Struthio camelus: one gene and its partner. The protein of the gene in region 2 binds, or shares a complex with, the protein of the main gene of each other region. Links are inferred from orthologs where the notes say so. Each region holds a gene or a part of one and is shown on either strand. Other genes may lie near its edges.

Region 1 (7,573 bases), on a different chromosome or scaffold from region 2:
TAGTGCAGCCCAGTAAAATAACTTACAGTAGTTAAGCAAATAAAGACATCTGTATTGCTTCCTAAACTACTTCACAGCTTTTTAAAATTTCTCTCTTCTGCAAACATGGATCATTTCAATGTGCTACTAGAAAAAAAAAAAGGATTCTTTTTGGATATGCATGTTTCTACAGCTAATTCAATATAAGACTCTGCCTCTTACAATTATCTACGAGTTTATCCAAAAAAAAAAAAAAAAAAACAACACACTCCAGTGCAGGAACCCAGGATGCTGGCAATTCCTTCAGTCTTTTCTGAGGAACATCAGCATTATGGTTTCTAGGGCTAAGTCTGTTCTGTTAAGAGTCTACTAGGAAGTGATTTATGATCCATGAGACAGCTGTCCTGTGGACTCTCCTAAACAACAATTGTACAATTTTTTGTGATCACAGAGACTGCACTCAATAAGCCTGGCATTTTTTTAAAATGATAAATCATTCTGAAGAAACAGAGGTACCTTTTTCTTCTTCCTCCTCCTCTTCCTCCTCTTCCTCCTCATCACTTTCCTCAGCTTTGTTCTCAGTTTCAGGTTCTTTCTCATCTGCTTTTTCAGATGACATTGTATCTTCTTTTGATGAAGCAACAGACGACATGGTGTCTGGTTCTATAAAAAGCAGTCAGTAAAACCATCAACAATACAATATAATATGTAAGCAGCACAGGAATTTTCCTTTTTAAAAAATCCCTTTGTATGGTAGAAGTCATGTCATAGTACTCCTGTTGTGATTGCTCACATTCTTTAAGCCACAGATGAGTATCCTGCATACACAAAATTTCTTCAACAGTTTTGTCATCCATTCTGCAACTAATCTGCTTGAGAACAATTTAAGAGGTTATCAGTTCTTTCCACACGCAATAGTCTTAAAGCTTGCTTTGTGAAGTATTCAGGAACACCCAACCCTAAAAGCAACTGATATTGTATCTATTAAGAACTGTAACGTATTAAAATATTACAATCTTAGTGCAGCACATTACAAACCGAAGTTATTTCTGATCACAGTTAACTGTACATGCAAGTTTCCTAATCAATTTAACAGACTATACATTTACACAGGAAATAGGAACTGAAAAAAAAAAAAAAAAAAGAGCAACTCATGGAAAAGTTAACACTGCTTTCTGAGTACAAATAGCTGCATGGCATCCTAGGGGTTGAAAACGCTTTTTAGTTTTAATCTGCAAGTCTACAAAAAAAAAACGCAAAACAAAACCACACTTCATACTTAGCAAATTTAAGAGGAGTCTTTTAATATTCGAAGTGGCTTAAAGGTTAGGTTAAACATCTCATTTAGGTGAGGGCCATTTCCCCTACTTTCCCTAATGACAGAGGGAATGCCTATCTAACAAAGGAAAATAAGCCTATCTATTTATATTAAGATGACTCCAGCTTTTAAAATCTTTCACTATTTACATGTCTGGAACAAAACACAGCATGGGTTGTATAAGCCAGGGGAAGGGAATGTGTGTGTGAAATCACATGATTAACCACCTTGTTCCAGCATTAAAACCAATACATGTTCAGGAGTTCAGACTCAATAAACAATAATCAAATCAACTGCACAGGAGCAAGATTAGCAGGTGTCAGAGAAGAGCAACACACCAAATGACAGAAAACATGAGCTACAATACCAATAGTAAGGGCAAAAAGAAAGTTTACTCTCCTTTGTTAAACGACTTGAAAAAAACCCTCTCCTTCGGGGAGGGGGGGTGCCGGTATGTCAGTTTGACACAGGAAGAGTAATTCAACTTCTTCACGATTCTGCTCTGTGAATTTTACCCTTTTACACGAGTGAAAAAGTAAGCAAAGTACTACAAACTGCCTTCCCCCCCTCTTTCAGTGGGGGCGGGGAAGGAAAACAGGAGAGTAAGAGACTTTTGCCTTTTCAGCATCCAGGTCACTGAAGGCCTGTTTGCTCAGGGAAAAAACGCACAGGGATCCACCCTTAAAGAGAGTCAAACCAGGGATACTTTCAGCCACACGAGAAGGAGAAATAAGGACAGGGTATCCCGCAAGGGGAGAAAGTGACTTGTGCACAGCCACACCTCCCACCCTCCCCGGGACTGTTCAGACATGGACTTGCCTCCACCCCTCGCCTTCCCGACCGGCGAGCCGAAGGCCGGGGAAAGCGATCTCCGTAGCTATTACCCGGAGGAGCTGACGCTCAAGGCTAACGGGGGCGGCTGCCCTCCCGCCTCCGGGCCGCGCAGCAGGGCCGGGCCGGGCCCTCAGAACTAACACCTCGGGGGTGAAACCCAGCCCGCCACCCCGAGGCGGACTGGGGAAGCAGGCGGCCCGGGTAGGTGACAAGCGCCCCCGGCCCGGGGCGGTCCCGTTTCTCGTCCACCCCCCTCCCCGCCTGCCGGGCCGCCCGCCCGGGCCGCGGCCCGCCGCGAGGGGCGGGAGCGCCCCCTCTGGCGCCGTTATCGCCACGGCGGCGGGACCCACCTCAGCTCAAGCCCCGGCTTCTGGCTCCTTCTTCGGGCGCGGCCGCGGCAGTAACGGCAGCCAGAGGCGACAGTTACCGGAGGAGGGAAGCGGCGGCGGCGGCGTTGGGGGGGGGGGGTTGGAGAAGGAGGGGCGGGGCGGGCGCTGGCTCGCGCCCTCGCACGCGGCACACAGCCCCGAGCGGGCGCGCGCGCTCCGCGTCCCGCGGCCACTCTCTTTCTCTCTCTCTCTTTCTCTCTCTCTCTCTCTCCCGGAATCAACAAGGTTTTCAAAATGGCGGGTTCTCGAAAGGGGAGAAGGAAGCGGGAAGGCGGCGGCCAATCAGCGCCCGCAGCCCCCGGCGGCGTGGGGGCGGGGGGGGGGCAGCGCGCGAGGGAAGGGTGCGCGCGCAGGGAACGGGGAGGGGTGTGCGCGCGCGCGCGCGCGGATGTGCGTGACCTGCGGCTGCCTGTGCGGGCCTCCGGGGTGACGTCAGAGAGAGCGCGCGCGCCCCGCCGCGCGCCTGCCCCGCCACGGGGCCATTGGCTCGGCGGCGGGGAGGGCGGGGCCTGTGGTGCAACCGCCACCTCCCGCCCCGCCCCGCCCCGCCCCGCCCCGCCCCGCCCCGCCCCGCCCCGCCGGGGTTGTGTCCGCAGGCGGTAGGGGGGCTGCCGCCCTGCCCCTGTCTTGTCCTTGTCCCTGTCCCTGTCCTCGCTCGCATGTGTACGCGAAGGCCTTGGCGGTCCCGCCCTGCTGTGGCGAGCTCGTTTGCCTGCGGCTCGCCGGGCGCCTGTGGGGCGCAGGGCAACGACGGCGGTGCTGGGGCGCGGGGCGGGCGGCCAACGGGAGAAAGCGGCCGTTGGTAGGCGGCTGGCTGCGGAGCAGAGGCCCGGGGGCAGAAGAAGGAGGTCTCCTCCTTGCCCGTTTAAAATTACGGGGTGGGCAGCCGGGCCGTGTGCCCTATGGTGCTGAGGGGCAGAGGGCTGGTCCCGCTCCCCGCACTGTGGCCTGCCAGAGCTGAGGACAGGCAGTTCAGACCAGAGAAGAGGCCTGACTGAGGTTAACGTGCCTTCAGCAGGAGTTAGCAGCGCTCAGAAAACATGCTGGAGAAAGAAGTAGCCTGAAGTAGTCAGTGCTGATGACTGTCTTGAGGCCACGTTGTACTGACAGGAGCTTTTTGTCTAGTAGGTGGGTGGCTGTTACCTTGGGGGTGGGACAGCAGTTAAGGGTAAGAAGTGAAAGGATTTAAAAAAAAACCCACATGATTCTGTTTTTTAACTGAACATTGACCTTTTAGATGTGCATACAACATAGCACTCAATGTAGAGTTGGCAGCAGAACTGGGAAATCTAATGTACTACGAAATAATAATAAGTACTACGAAATAATAGACTCTGGAATGGGGAAAATTTTCCATAAAAAAAGAAGGTCCAGGGAATGTATGTTAATTACCCCTACTTTAAGCAATGGAAGTGCAGATTCTTTTTTTGAAGTTAGCTGGTAAAATCACAGATGGCAGTGGTCTTAAAGAGGAAAATGTGAATTATTTACTACAATACATAATCAGAAAAGCTTGAAGTTAGTATACAATAAGGAGGCAGAAGTATCTCATCATTAAGCCATAGGCTACACAAATGGCACAAGACAGATGTTTGAAGACAACAGACTACTTTCTACAAGATGGATAGGTTTGGATTAGTTTGGAATTAAGACGGAAGACATCTGAAGGGTGTGCTTTAGGTTGTGGTGATAAATTAGACCCTATCTTGTAAACAAGGACATGTTTACTCAATGGAGATGATTTACCTAGTTAAACTAGCTATATTAATGTCCTACCAATATGACACTAGGGCTGCTTTTGGGGGAGAAGTAGAAGATAATGTTTTCATGGATTCCTTTAGAGAAGACATGTCATTGCAGTAGGGAGTACACCCTCAAACATCCAATTAATTCAATATTTTAGGAATTGATAAATTCTTAGTGCAGGTGAGCTATATATTGACTCAGGTTTCTTTTCGTGGAACTTCAGCAAGAATGACAACTAACCTTTCTTGATTCTGTTTTTGGAACCTTCTCTATCTGTTCTTAATGGTACTTTTTCAAATTTGTGGAACGGTTTCAATTAAAATTGTTAAAAATTTTGATAATCAGTTGTTCCATTTCCGAAACAAAACTGAGACAATATGGAGGCTTTTAGAAAAAATTCACAATGCTAGGGGTTGAGAGAAGGAGGGGGCAAATTCAGAATTAAAAAAAAATCAGATATGTATTAAAGGGAAATTACTGGATTCAAGAAAAGAGACTGAATCTGGTTTATCTTATCATTTCTACTATTACTAGGAATGCACATTAACAATACACTGTTTTGGGATCTTGCCCTGTATTGATGCTTCTGTCTTGCTGTCTTCTCTCTACACACCCTGATGCAGTTAACTTCATTTCTCAGCTTCAGCTGAGATTTGAAAGACCTAAATAAGATAATTAGATTATTGTAAAATGTTTGTATAATCTAAGGTGTTTACATCTTAGATTAGTCTAGTGAGTGGTACTAAATGCAACTTAAAATAAAAACGTTGATTCTGGAGGAAGGCTCAATTAGAAAGGGATGAATGGTTCAAAGAGGGCCTCGGAATTAATGCGGGAGCTGCTCACTGTAGCCTGCTCTTCTTATTCCACCAGGGAGAGTCTGCTCTTTTACTACCATAGACCCTATATTCAGACAGGATGCTCGCTTACTTATTTTTGATAGCTATCTCTATTTCGATGAAACAGTTATCTTGGAGGTACCCTAGGGTCGCTCTGAAATATCAAAGGGTGTGTTCTTAGGCGTTTTAACTCGACAGAATTAAATAGTGAAAAGTGCTCTGAAGGAGCTGTAAAAGACAGAAGCTGGCATGTTTCAGGATGCATTATATGCTGGTATTCTGTGCTACAGTGCACCAGCCAAAGCTACCTCAAACACGATCACCACCATCTGTTAATTAATGCAAACATATTTTCAGTCATTTCGGAGTTGTGGTTTAGCTAACACTGTGTGTTGGCTTTCGGCATGAAGCATACAGTGGTTTTTGAGAAGCCTTTAGGAATAGAATTGTAGGCTTCACAGAGTGTACAAAGTCCCCCAGGACTGCATTTATTTTGTTTTCAAACTGACTGATTACTGCAGGATCCTGCCACCAGTGCAGAGTCTAGCAGATCTGCTGTGAGTAAGATTATAGAAGATTGTCTGTAGATAGCAGAGAAAGTGGCCGGCATCAAAATAAGTACCTAGTAACTCATATTAGGAGTTTTATTCACAAAGTGAAAAGCCACAGCAACAAATTATGTGATGCTGCTTTTTAATAATATAGGTAATGTTGCTTTGTGCCCTCATGAGAGTCATGCATGTGTATGTATATATGTACACATATATACATACACTTTAGCTTCTCTGTCTATAAAACAGTAATGTGGTTGCATATTTCCTGGAAATGTCAAAATGGCTTGTCTGCGAAATGCTGAGAAAAGTCCTGTATAAATGCTAAGTACATCTTTATTAACATTAGAAGCATTATATGGCTTTTGAATCTAAATTTGATATAATCACTAGCAGAAAGCAGAAATCAAGAGATGAACTGATAATTGAGCTAATTAACACAACTTGCAGAACAGGAGAAAATTGAAAACTATTTGAGCACTGTGTAGTTAATTTATAGTATGATTAGTAACAATTATACTTAATGTCTCCAAATACTCACTGCATACTTGTACCAGATAATTTACATCTGTTTTGAATGACAAAGACAGTTGATTTGCAAAGTGTTTCCGAAGCGGGTACTGCTCAGTTCAGACAACATCCTTTGTCCCCCTTTTTGTTTCATATCTAGGTGTTTGTGGACTAGCAGACTGTTGCATCATCTGAACTCGTCATCTGTTTCTTGCCCTTAAGAAGCCCTTAAGAGTTAGTTGTTGTTGTAAATAGGAATTCTCACAAACATGAAATGAGTTGTTGATATGAATTGATGTGAGCAATTTCACCCAGTATTAGAAATCTTTTATGGGTCATATTTCAAGATAAGTATATGGAAAGATTCAGCTCAATTCTTACGTAATAAGAAACATCAGATATAGATAATGAGTCAAAATAGTACATGAAGGCACATCTTCCATGTATGTGTGAATGACAACACTGAACTTTGTCAAACTTGATCTGTGTTGGGATATCTGCTAACGTGCCAGCTACTATGAAGTTAAGTTGCATCACATTCTGCAGGGTTTGGAAATGACTGCTTTGTGTGTTTAAAAACATCTACGCTTGTATGTTGTACAGTCAAAGCTTAAGCAGCTGTTGCATTGTATATGAAGTATTCAGAGCTACCACCTCGGAACTCTGGACTGATGAAACTTAGCTCTCACAAGTAGTAGCACTGGAAACTCTTCTGCATTTCTCTACTGACATTTGAGCTTTGAAGAGGCAGGCACTAAAAGGGTTTTCATCTCAAGGCTCCACGTGCGGCTCTGTTCAAGAACATTTAGCAGGATGGTTTCCTTAGTGTAGCTACTACAAGGACAGAATTTGACCTAGGATGAATGCTCACACAGTTACTAGCCTCCTGGTACTTCTGACTTAGTTTTGCAATGAATAGTGCGTGTATGTGCCAGTTAACTATGTACATGTTATGTAACTTGCACTTAAGAAAAAGAAACACTGTCTATTCATCCACACTTTAAGGCTTGAGGCTATACATTTCTATTTCTCAGGTCTATAGGTTTTGTTACATGTTTACAGTTACACGTTTTAAAAAACATTTCCAAGGGTATTGTTACTTTGTGAGGAGACAATTTTGCACTTAGAGCTCTTCACTGAGTTATGCTAGAATGTGAAACTCGTGGGTTGCCAGCTGCTGAGCTGGGAGAAATAGATTGCAATGTAATGAGTGCAACCTGCGTTTAAGAAAAAAAACCAAAAAAGAAAAATCTGAAAAAACTTAGTAGCAGTCTGATAAGTTAAGGTGGTCTTAATAATAAAAATTTGTCGACACGAAGTGATGCAAACTGACAATTTTCCAGGAGACAAGAAGCTTTTCTTTTCAGAGTGCGATTTTTTTCCCCCTTCTCTTTCTCCACCCCCGCA
Region 2 (7,757 bases):
GTAGATGAGAGAGCATGCAAGAAACATCTGACAGCGTTTTACTAGCTCGCTCTGCGGTACATTCATAAAATGCCCTACAGTGCAGATATTTTAAAAACCTGTGCTGTTTTGGAAATTTTAGAAATTCTTTTCAAGATGACGCAACCAAAAATTATTTAAATAGAGAATTAGTATCCAGTATTGCCATACGGGCCCCAGGTGTTTAACCATGCGGAGAAGGACAACTTGTTGTCATTAAATAGCAGTTCTGTCCACTGACTCCAGCTGCAATTGCTCTGTTGCAGTCTGACTGCTCCTGGCAGTACTGTCATGAAGCACGTGGGAGGACAAAACACCCTTCTATTAGCTTTCAATTGCATTACTTAAAAAAAGAGCTACCTATTTCAATGGGATTTACTGGTAAACAACTGCATTCAATGTTTTCGAGGAAACTGGACCTAATGTTTTCATCAATAACATAGAAAAAGTATAAAAATTGCTTTCATTTGTATTTATTAACAGATAAGACTCAAAATATATTAAAACTTAACATCAAGATTAGATGACCAGGAATATTTCCATATAAAGCATTACTTAATTGTGATTTAATGCTGTTAGTCTTCATGACTACCAATAATATCCATGCAAACCAAGAAAATAAACAAATACTTTCTCTTTTTACTACCTGTACAGACCTCCTGTACCCCCTGTTCGTACACCCCTTCCACTCCCAACCACCCAAAATTCAGCCTTGGGCGCAAGTAACGAATTAGAAACTGGGTGCCCAAACGAGCAGCTTTCTTGTCCAGAGTTTTCAGCACATTTGTCTCCAAGAGAGCAGAGGGTCTAATGCGCCACCCAAACAAGTCAACTGGGAAAACTAAGAATAACGGTTTGTCCATGATGAAAGCAGACTCAGCTAAACTAGAGCATCTTTTGCAGAATAAAGGCATCTGCCCACAGATAAATACAGAAAATAGCTGCTGCACTCTTCCATAACCCCTCCTCTTACTTTCAACTATGAACAAACCAATGAAAAAGCAGTCCCCTAAACAAAGTCCTACTTCCCACCCAACACACACTGTGTCTATACCTCAGAAAGGATGTCAACAAGAGTTTTTCCAGGGAGATCTCTGAGGTGTGCTTGGTGATGTGCCAACTGTTGGAGAAGCTGGATGCTCTCCAGCAGAGCTTTCTGGTCCTGGGAAATCAAAAAATAGAGAATATATATCTAAGGGTAAGCTGAAGGCTCAGGTAATAATACACTCTGAGACCCACATGTCTACTTACAATAAGAAGCCTACACTATCACTTCTTGATATACAACTCAGTTCTTCCCAATACGGTGTTTTCTGACCGCATGTGACAAAAGATCCCTCCCTTCCAGGCGAGGTAGGGACTATCTGACACAGTTCTTACATTTCTGGTAATCAGTTAATCCATCCACCTAGTCTCCCCAAGCTTTTCTATTTTCTAGAAAACAGATTTTCTATTATTTCACCCATGCAAGTTTTCTTAACCATCCTTTTCCTTCTTTTCTTCCCATCTTTGACTTCCAGCTGATAATACCACAGTTTTCTACTAAGAAGCTTGAGTTGTTGGTGACCAACTGTTAACTTCTGGATTCATATGACCCCTTTTACATGAGCATCAAAGCATCTCACAACTGATTCTTGCCACACTCTTCCAAGTAACACCCCTGCTATGAATCAGGAACAGACATTTAAAAGGCACAAAAAGCCTATGGAAAAGGCAAAAAGAAGTGAACTGGACTTGATGCTCCAAAGTCCCATCTCATGCAGTAGCCAATGGGCCAGCCTTTCTCTCTAGATCCTCTCTGCATTTCAAGACAACTCCAGAACCATTACTGACAAATACCATAACCATACTAACGTTACCTTAACAAGCCGGCCTGATTGAAACAGAGCCATAACTCCAAAAAAGTTTCCAAAAGCAGCATTTCTCACAAGTTTCTGGAAAAAGGAAAAAAATTAAGAGTAGCAATCCCCCCCACTGCTGGGTTCGATCTCACATTCACCTACAGTTCCTACTACTAGGACAAACTGGCTGGAAGATCTGGTCTTGAATGTCCTTCCATATGAAGATAACACAACCAAGAACACCCCCCTGCGCGATGTTTAAGAACCAGTGTCTTAAGACAGTCAGGCAAATCTCAGCTAAGACAGGGCTAGATGACAGTGTCATCAACCTCCAGTTTTTACAAATATTTCAAGTCCTGTTACAGTCGTTTGTCTTAGGAAGAACTCCAAAAGCTACAGTATCCCGAGGTCAAACCTTCAAAGAGCAGAGAACAGTTAATCTAACCTAGTTGTTGGCCGATGCTGCTATGAGCCCACTCACCTTTTTCACTTTTCCCAGATTGTGTTTTTCTTTTATCTGTTCCAGCACACCGCACACCGGAATCTCCTCAAAAGCCTGCAAAACCTGGGGAGACGGGCGAGACAGCACAGTTTGCAGTCCTTACGTCCTGCGACGCTTTACGCGGTTCAGCCAAAGCCGAGCCGACCAGAACACGAGATGCGCTGCTTTACGAGGCCAGAATAGAGCGCACCCACATCAGGAAAACGCGTGTCACGGTAAGAACTGGTCAGACATAAAGACACTGTTTAAGAAGCCCTAACAGGACTTTCGGGCGCGCTCCCGAGCTCGCGGAAACACTGACCTGCGCCAGGGCCAGGCTGAAGCCCGGCCGCGCCGCCTCGCGGGTGGCCCCCAGTCCCTCCACCAGGCGCTTGAGGGTGTACTTCAGCTCGTCGTCCTGCAAGACAGAGCCAGGCTCGCCCTCCGCCTCTCCCAGCGGCGCCCCCGCTCCCGGCCCCGGCCCCGGCCTCACCTTCCTGCCGTCCCGCAGGTGCCGCAGGAGGCTCTCGGTGGCGGCCAGCCGCACCTCCTGCTCGGGCTTGGCGATGTCCCAGAAGAGGTCGAGGAAGGCGCGGCCCTGCCGCAGCACGCCGCGGGCGTCGGCGCCCGCCACGCCACCGCCGCGGGGCTCCCGCTCCGCCATGCCGCCGCCGCCGCCGCCGCCGCCGCGGGGCTCCCGCTCCGCCATGCCGCCGCCGCCGCCGCCGCGGGGCTCCCGCTCCGCCATGCCGCCGCCGCCGCGCACGTGGGGCCGTCGCCGCCGCTGCCGGCCCGCCCCTTCCGGGGCAGCGTCGCTGCGCCTGGCCGGGCCTGTTCACCGCGGCCTCCTCGGCTGCTCAGCACCACAGCCTTCCCTCAGCGCCGTCCTCCGTGCAGGACCACGCTCTCCTCAGCTCCATCCTCCCCTCAGCTCCACACTCTCCTCAGCGCCATCCTCCCCTCAGCTCCACGCTCTCCTCAGCTCCACACTCTCAGCTCCATCCTCCCCTCAGCTCCACACTCTCCTCAGCTCCATCCTCCCCTCAGCACCATCCTCCCTTCAGCACCATCCTCCCCTCAGCTCCACACTCTCCTCAGCGCCATCCTCCCCTCAGCGCCATCCTCCCCTCAGCTCCATCCTCCCCTCAGCTCCACACTCTCCTCAGCACCATCCTCCCTTCAGCACCATCCTCCCCTCAGCACCATCCTCCCCTCAGCACCATTCTCGCCTCAGCTCCACACTCTCCTCAGCTCCACCCTCCCCTCAGCTCCACACTCTCCTCAGCTCCATCCTCCCCTCAGCGCCATCCTCCCCTCAGCTCCACGCTCTCCTCAGCTCCATCCTCCCCTCAGCGCCATCCTCCCCTCAGCTCCACGCTCCCCTCAGCTCCACACTCCCCTCAGCTCCACACTCTCCTCAGCGCCATCCTCCCCTCAGCTCCACACTCTCTTCAGCTCCATCCTCCCCTCAGCACCATCCTCCCCTCAGCTCCACACTCTCCTCAGCTCCGTCCTCCCCTCAGCTCCACGCTCTCCTCAGAGCCATCCTCCCCTCAGCACCATCCTCCCCTCAGCTCCACGCTCTCCTCAGCGCCATCCTCCCCTCAGCTCCATGCTCCCCTCAGCGCCATCCTCCCCTCAGCTCCACGCTCCCCTCAGCTCCACGCTCTCCTCAGCTCCATCCTCCCCTCAGCTCCATCCTCCCCTCAGCTCCACGCTCTCCTCAGCTCCACGCTCTCCTCAGCTCCATCCTCCCCTCAGCTCCACGCTCTCCTCAGCTCCATCCTCCCCTCAGCTCCACGCTCTCCTCAGCTCCATCCTCCCCTCAGCTCCACACTCTCCTCAGCGCCATCCTCCCCTCAGCTCCACACTCTCCTCAGCGCCATCCTCCCCTCAGCGCCATCCTCCCCTCAGCTCCATGCTCCCCTCAGCTCCACGCTCTCCTCAGCTCCACGCTCTCCTCAGCTCCACGCTCTCCTCAGCTCCATCCTCCCCTCAGCTCCACACTCTCTTCAGCTCCATCCTCCCCTCAGCACCATCCTCCCCTCAGCTCCACACTCTCCTCAGCTCCGTCCTCCCCTCAGCTCCACGCTCTCCTCAGAGCCATCCTCCCCTCAGCACCATCCTCTCCTCAGCTCCATGCTCCCCTCAGCGCCATCCTCCCCTCAGCTCCACGCTCTCCTCAGCTCCACGCTCTCCTCAGCTCCATCCTCCCCTCAGCTCCACGCTCTCCTCAGCACCATCCTCCCCTCAGCTCCATGCTCCCCTCAGCGCCATCCTCCCCTCAGCTCCACGCTCTCCTCAGCTCCACGCTCTCCTCAGCTCCACGCTCTCCTCAGCTCCACGCTCTCCTCAGCTCCATCCTCCCCTCAGCTCCACGCTCTCCTCAGCGCCATCCTCCCCTCAGCTCCACGCTCTCCTCAGCTCCATCCTCCCCTCAGCTCCACACTCTCCTCAGCGCCATCCTCCCCTCAGCTCCACACTCTCCTCAGCGCCATCCTCCCCTCAGCTCCACACTCCCCTCAGCTCCACACTCTCCTCAGTGCCATCCTCCCCTCAGCTCCACACTCTCTTCAGCTCCATCCTCCCCTCAGCACCATCCTCCCCTCAGCTCCACACTCTCCTCAGCTCCGTCCTCCCCTCAGCTCCACGCTCTCCTCAGAGCCATCCTCCCCTCAGCACCATCCTCCTGGCAGGACAGGCACCCGCAGGCCTCCTTCACCCTGCCCCATCCAACACGCTCCCCCCACCCTGCTCCACCTGCCCTGCGTCCTGCCCTCCGTAGTAGCCGCTCGGCAGGACTGTTTCAGCCCCGTCCCTGTGGGGAAAAGCAGGGTTGTGCGGGGAAGAGGCTTAAAACCCCAGCGCTACTGTAAAATCGTCCCTCCTTCCTCTCGGGCCGCTGCACAGGACGAAGGCCGGTGGTGGCATCGGCACGTGTCTTGAGCTGAACCTCCACCGTCGATGTCCCCCCTCGCTCAGGCGGGACGAGCGGTGGCTCCCAGCCCCGGGGGCGCTGAGGCTGCACCCCCTGCGATGGGCTCCCATCATTTTTTAGAATTAGTCTTGTTTAAAAGAGAGCACCGAAAGAGCAACTGGTGGTGTCAAGGCGCAGATGACAGGAGCGGGACCTCGCTGTCGGCGCACAGGGCCACGCAGGCTGCAGTCCCGCCCGCGGTCCTGCGCTCTGGCTGCGTGTGCTGGGCCGCTTTAAAACACCGGCGGGCTGGATGCGGGCACTGAGCAAGCTGTTATCTTCGGCTCTTTCCAAGTGCGGTGGCCTAGCAGCGGGGCCGGGCACCTGCCCTATTGGCACAGTTGGTCACCACAGAAAAATCAGTACGTCTTATGGTTTTATTGTAAAACATGAAGTAACGGCCGAGGGGAAAAAAAAATCAGTTAATGCAAAGGATGTATTTTTATGGGCACTAAGAAACTTCTGGCTACGCCTGTTATCTTTCCTGCCCAACAAAAAAAAAAAAAGAAAAGAAAATGGAGCGATTCTCCAGACGCCACGCAGAAGCTGCGCAGAGCCGGCTACCAAGCCTGACGTTTGCTGCCTTCCCTTTCAAAATCTCCATCTCCGGCCAGCAGCGAGCGCCGGCAGAATAAACACAACGCTCGGAGCACGAAAACTGCTCTGTCTCTGATCGTATCGTAAGTGACAGCAAGTCCCTTTTGGGGACACAAAAGAGGCCGGTGACTGGAAGACTAAGAAAGTGAAGCTACGCTTTAGAGCCGCAGGTCCGGGCGCGCCTTGCACGGCAGCACACCCCGCTCCTCCGGCCTGCGTGGTGCAGCGCCGCAGCCCGGGCGGGCCCAGCGCAGGCCCCGAGGCCGCAGCCCCGGGGGCCGCTGACACCCCGGCCCGGGCCGCTCTCCCCGCGCCGGAGCCTCCCTTCCCGCCGAGCCACCCTCCGCGGCGGCTCAGCCCCGCGCCGCCGCCGCCGCCCGGCACAAGGGCGGCCGGGCCGGGCCGGGCTGCGCTGGCGCCGCCTGGGCCCTGTGACGCCGCCGCAGCGCGGCGGGGCCGGTAGCGGTAGCGGCGGCGGCGGCGGGGCGCGGCCCCCTGCGCGCCCGGGCGCGGAGACTTTCCGACAGGCAGCAGGGCGGGCAGCCCCGGCAGGGCGGGGAGCTGGAGACAGGCACCGCGACGGACAGCCCCGGCCCGCGCTCCGCCGTATATAAGCGGCGCGGGGTCCTGCGGGCCCGGTCCTGTCACGCTCGCACGGGGAGGAGGCTGAGGTGGCGATGGCGGATTTTGATCCTTACGACGATCGGGCCTACAGCAGCTTCGGCGGCGGCCGGGGGTGAGCGCGGCGCCGCGGGCAGCGCTGGGGCCCCGGCGGGCGGGGCGGCGCTGGGGGCCCCGCGAGGAGCCGGGGAGGAGGCGGGAGTGGCGCTCGGCTCCCCCCCAGCCGGGCGAGGAGGGGGCGCGGCCGGGCCGGGCCCAGCCTGCCCCTTCCCCTGGGGGAGATGGCGGGGGGGCGCCGCCGCCAGGAGCCGCCCGGGCCCGGCTTCCTCCCCGCCGCCTTCGCTTCCCCCCCCCTCCCCGGGGGGTGGGGTGAGCCCGGCGGGGCGCATTTCCCTGCGGCCTTGGAGGCCCCGCTTTGTGAGGCGAGGAGGCGGCTGCCGTGCCCCGGGAAGGGGTAGGGCCGTCTCCTCGCTCCGGCGGGCGAGTGCCGCAAGGTTTAGGGCCTGGCGGCTGGGGAGCGCCGGGAAGAGGCGGGAGGATGGGTGTCGCTGTGTTCCCGCCGGTCGAGAGGCGCACGGAGGGGGGATTTAGGGAGGTGCTGGGACGGAGCCAAGGTGGGCAGAGCCGTGAGGAGCCCCTGCAGGGACAGACCGGGAGAGGGGAGGAGGGAGCTTCCCGCGAAGGGCGGCAGGGTGGCCAGAGCCCCCGCTTCTGGTGGGCCGAGCTCCGCACGGCGAGGTGCCCGGCGGCGGGGGGAGCTGCTGCGGCCCCGGGCCGGCCGCATTGTGATGCCTGCGGCGGGGAGGAAATGGGAGGGTTCTGCGGTACCTCCGATCAGGGAGAGCTGTGAGCTGCGCTCCTGCCTTAGCCGGGGCCCCGGGTGTTGACTCCAAGGCTCTGGCCCTTTAAAGTGGGGTCTGGATCATCTCTCCTTCTTAGCTGGAGAGTGCACATGGTGGGGGGAGGGGGGGGATGAAGGGGTTGAGTCTGCAGAGAAACCCTTTGGGGTGGCCTGCTAGATGCACCTTTGGGAAAGTTTGGAACTGAGCTGTTAAGGGCTCCTCCCTGTGAACTCCTGTCACTTACAGGGTTTTTTTAAAGGCTACAGAAACAATAAGCAGCAATTACTAAATTTGCTTGAAGTCAGGTTAGGAAGATGCAAGTAGCAGTTGAGTTTATTTGGAGATTGCTGTACAAGTGTCTGTCTATACTTTCCCAAGTG

The links.
Region 1: MYBBP1A (region 2) and DEK share a complex: the UniProt entries of both Homo sapiens proteins name them as parts of the B-WICH complex. The link is inferred for Struthio camelus from reciprocal best matches to the Homo sapiens genes MYBBP1A and DEK.

What each region holds. Positions count from the first base shown.
Region 1 is NC_090943.1:97,667,267-97,674,839, reverse strand, and holds the start of DEK (protein DEK), read right to left. Parts: upstream 3,013-7,573; 5' UTR 2,482-3,012; intron 643-2,481; 5' UTR 632-642; coding exon 496-631; intron 1-495. UniProt on the Homo sapiens protein: Involved in chromatin organization.
Region 2 is NC_090957.1:12,811,037-12,818,793, reverse strand, and holds the start of MYBBP1A (myb-binding protein 1A), read right to left. Parts: upstream 3,018-7,757; 5' UTR 3,005-3,017; coding exon 2,834-3,004; intron 2,759-2,833; coding exon 2,663-2,758; intron 2,425-2,662; coding exon 2,341-2,424; intron 1,953-2,340; coding exon 1,878-1,952; intron 1,181-1,877; coding exon 1,073-1,180; intron 1-1,072. Other genes in the region: EIF4H (eukaryotic translation initiation factor 4H), read left to right, coding at 6,592-6,650. UniProt on the Homo sapiens protein: May activate or repress transcription via interactions with sequence specific DNA-binding proteins. Repression may be mediated at least in part by histone deacetylase activity (HDAC activity).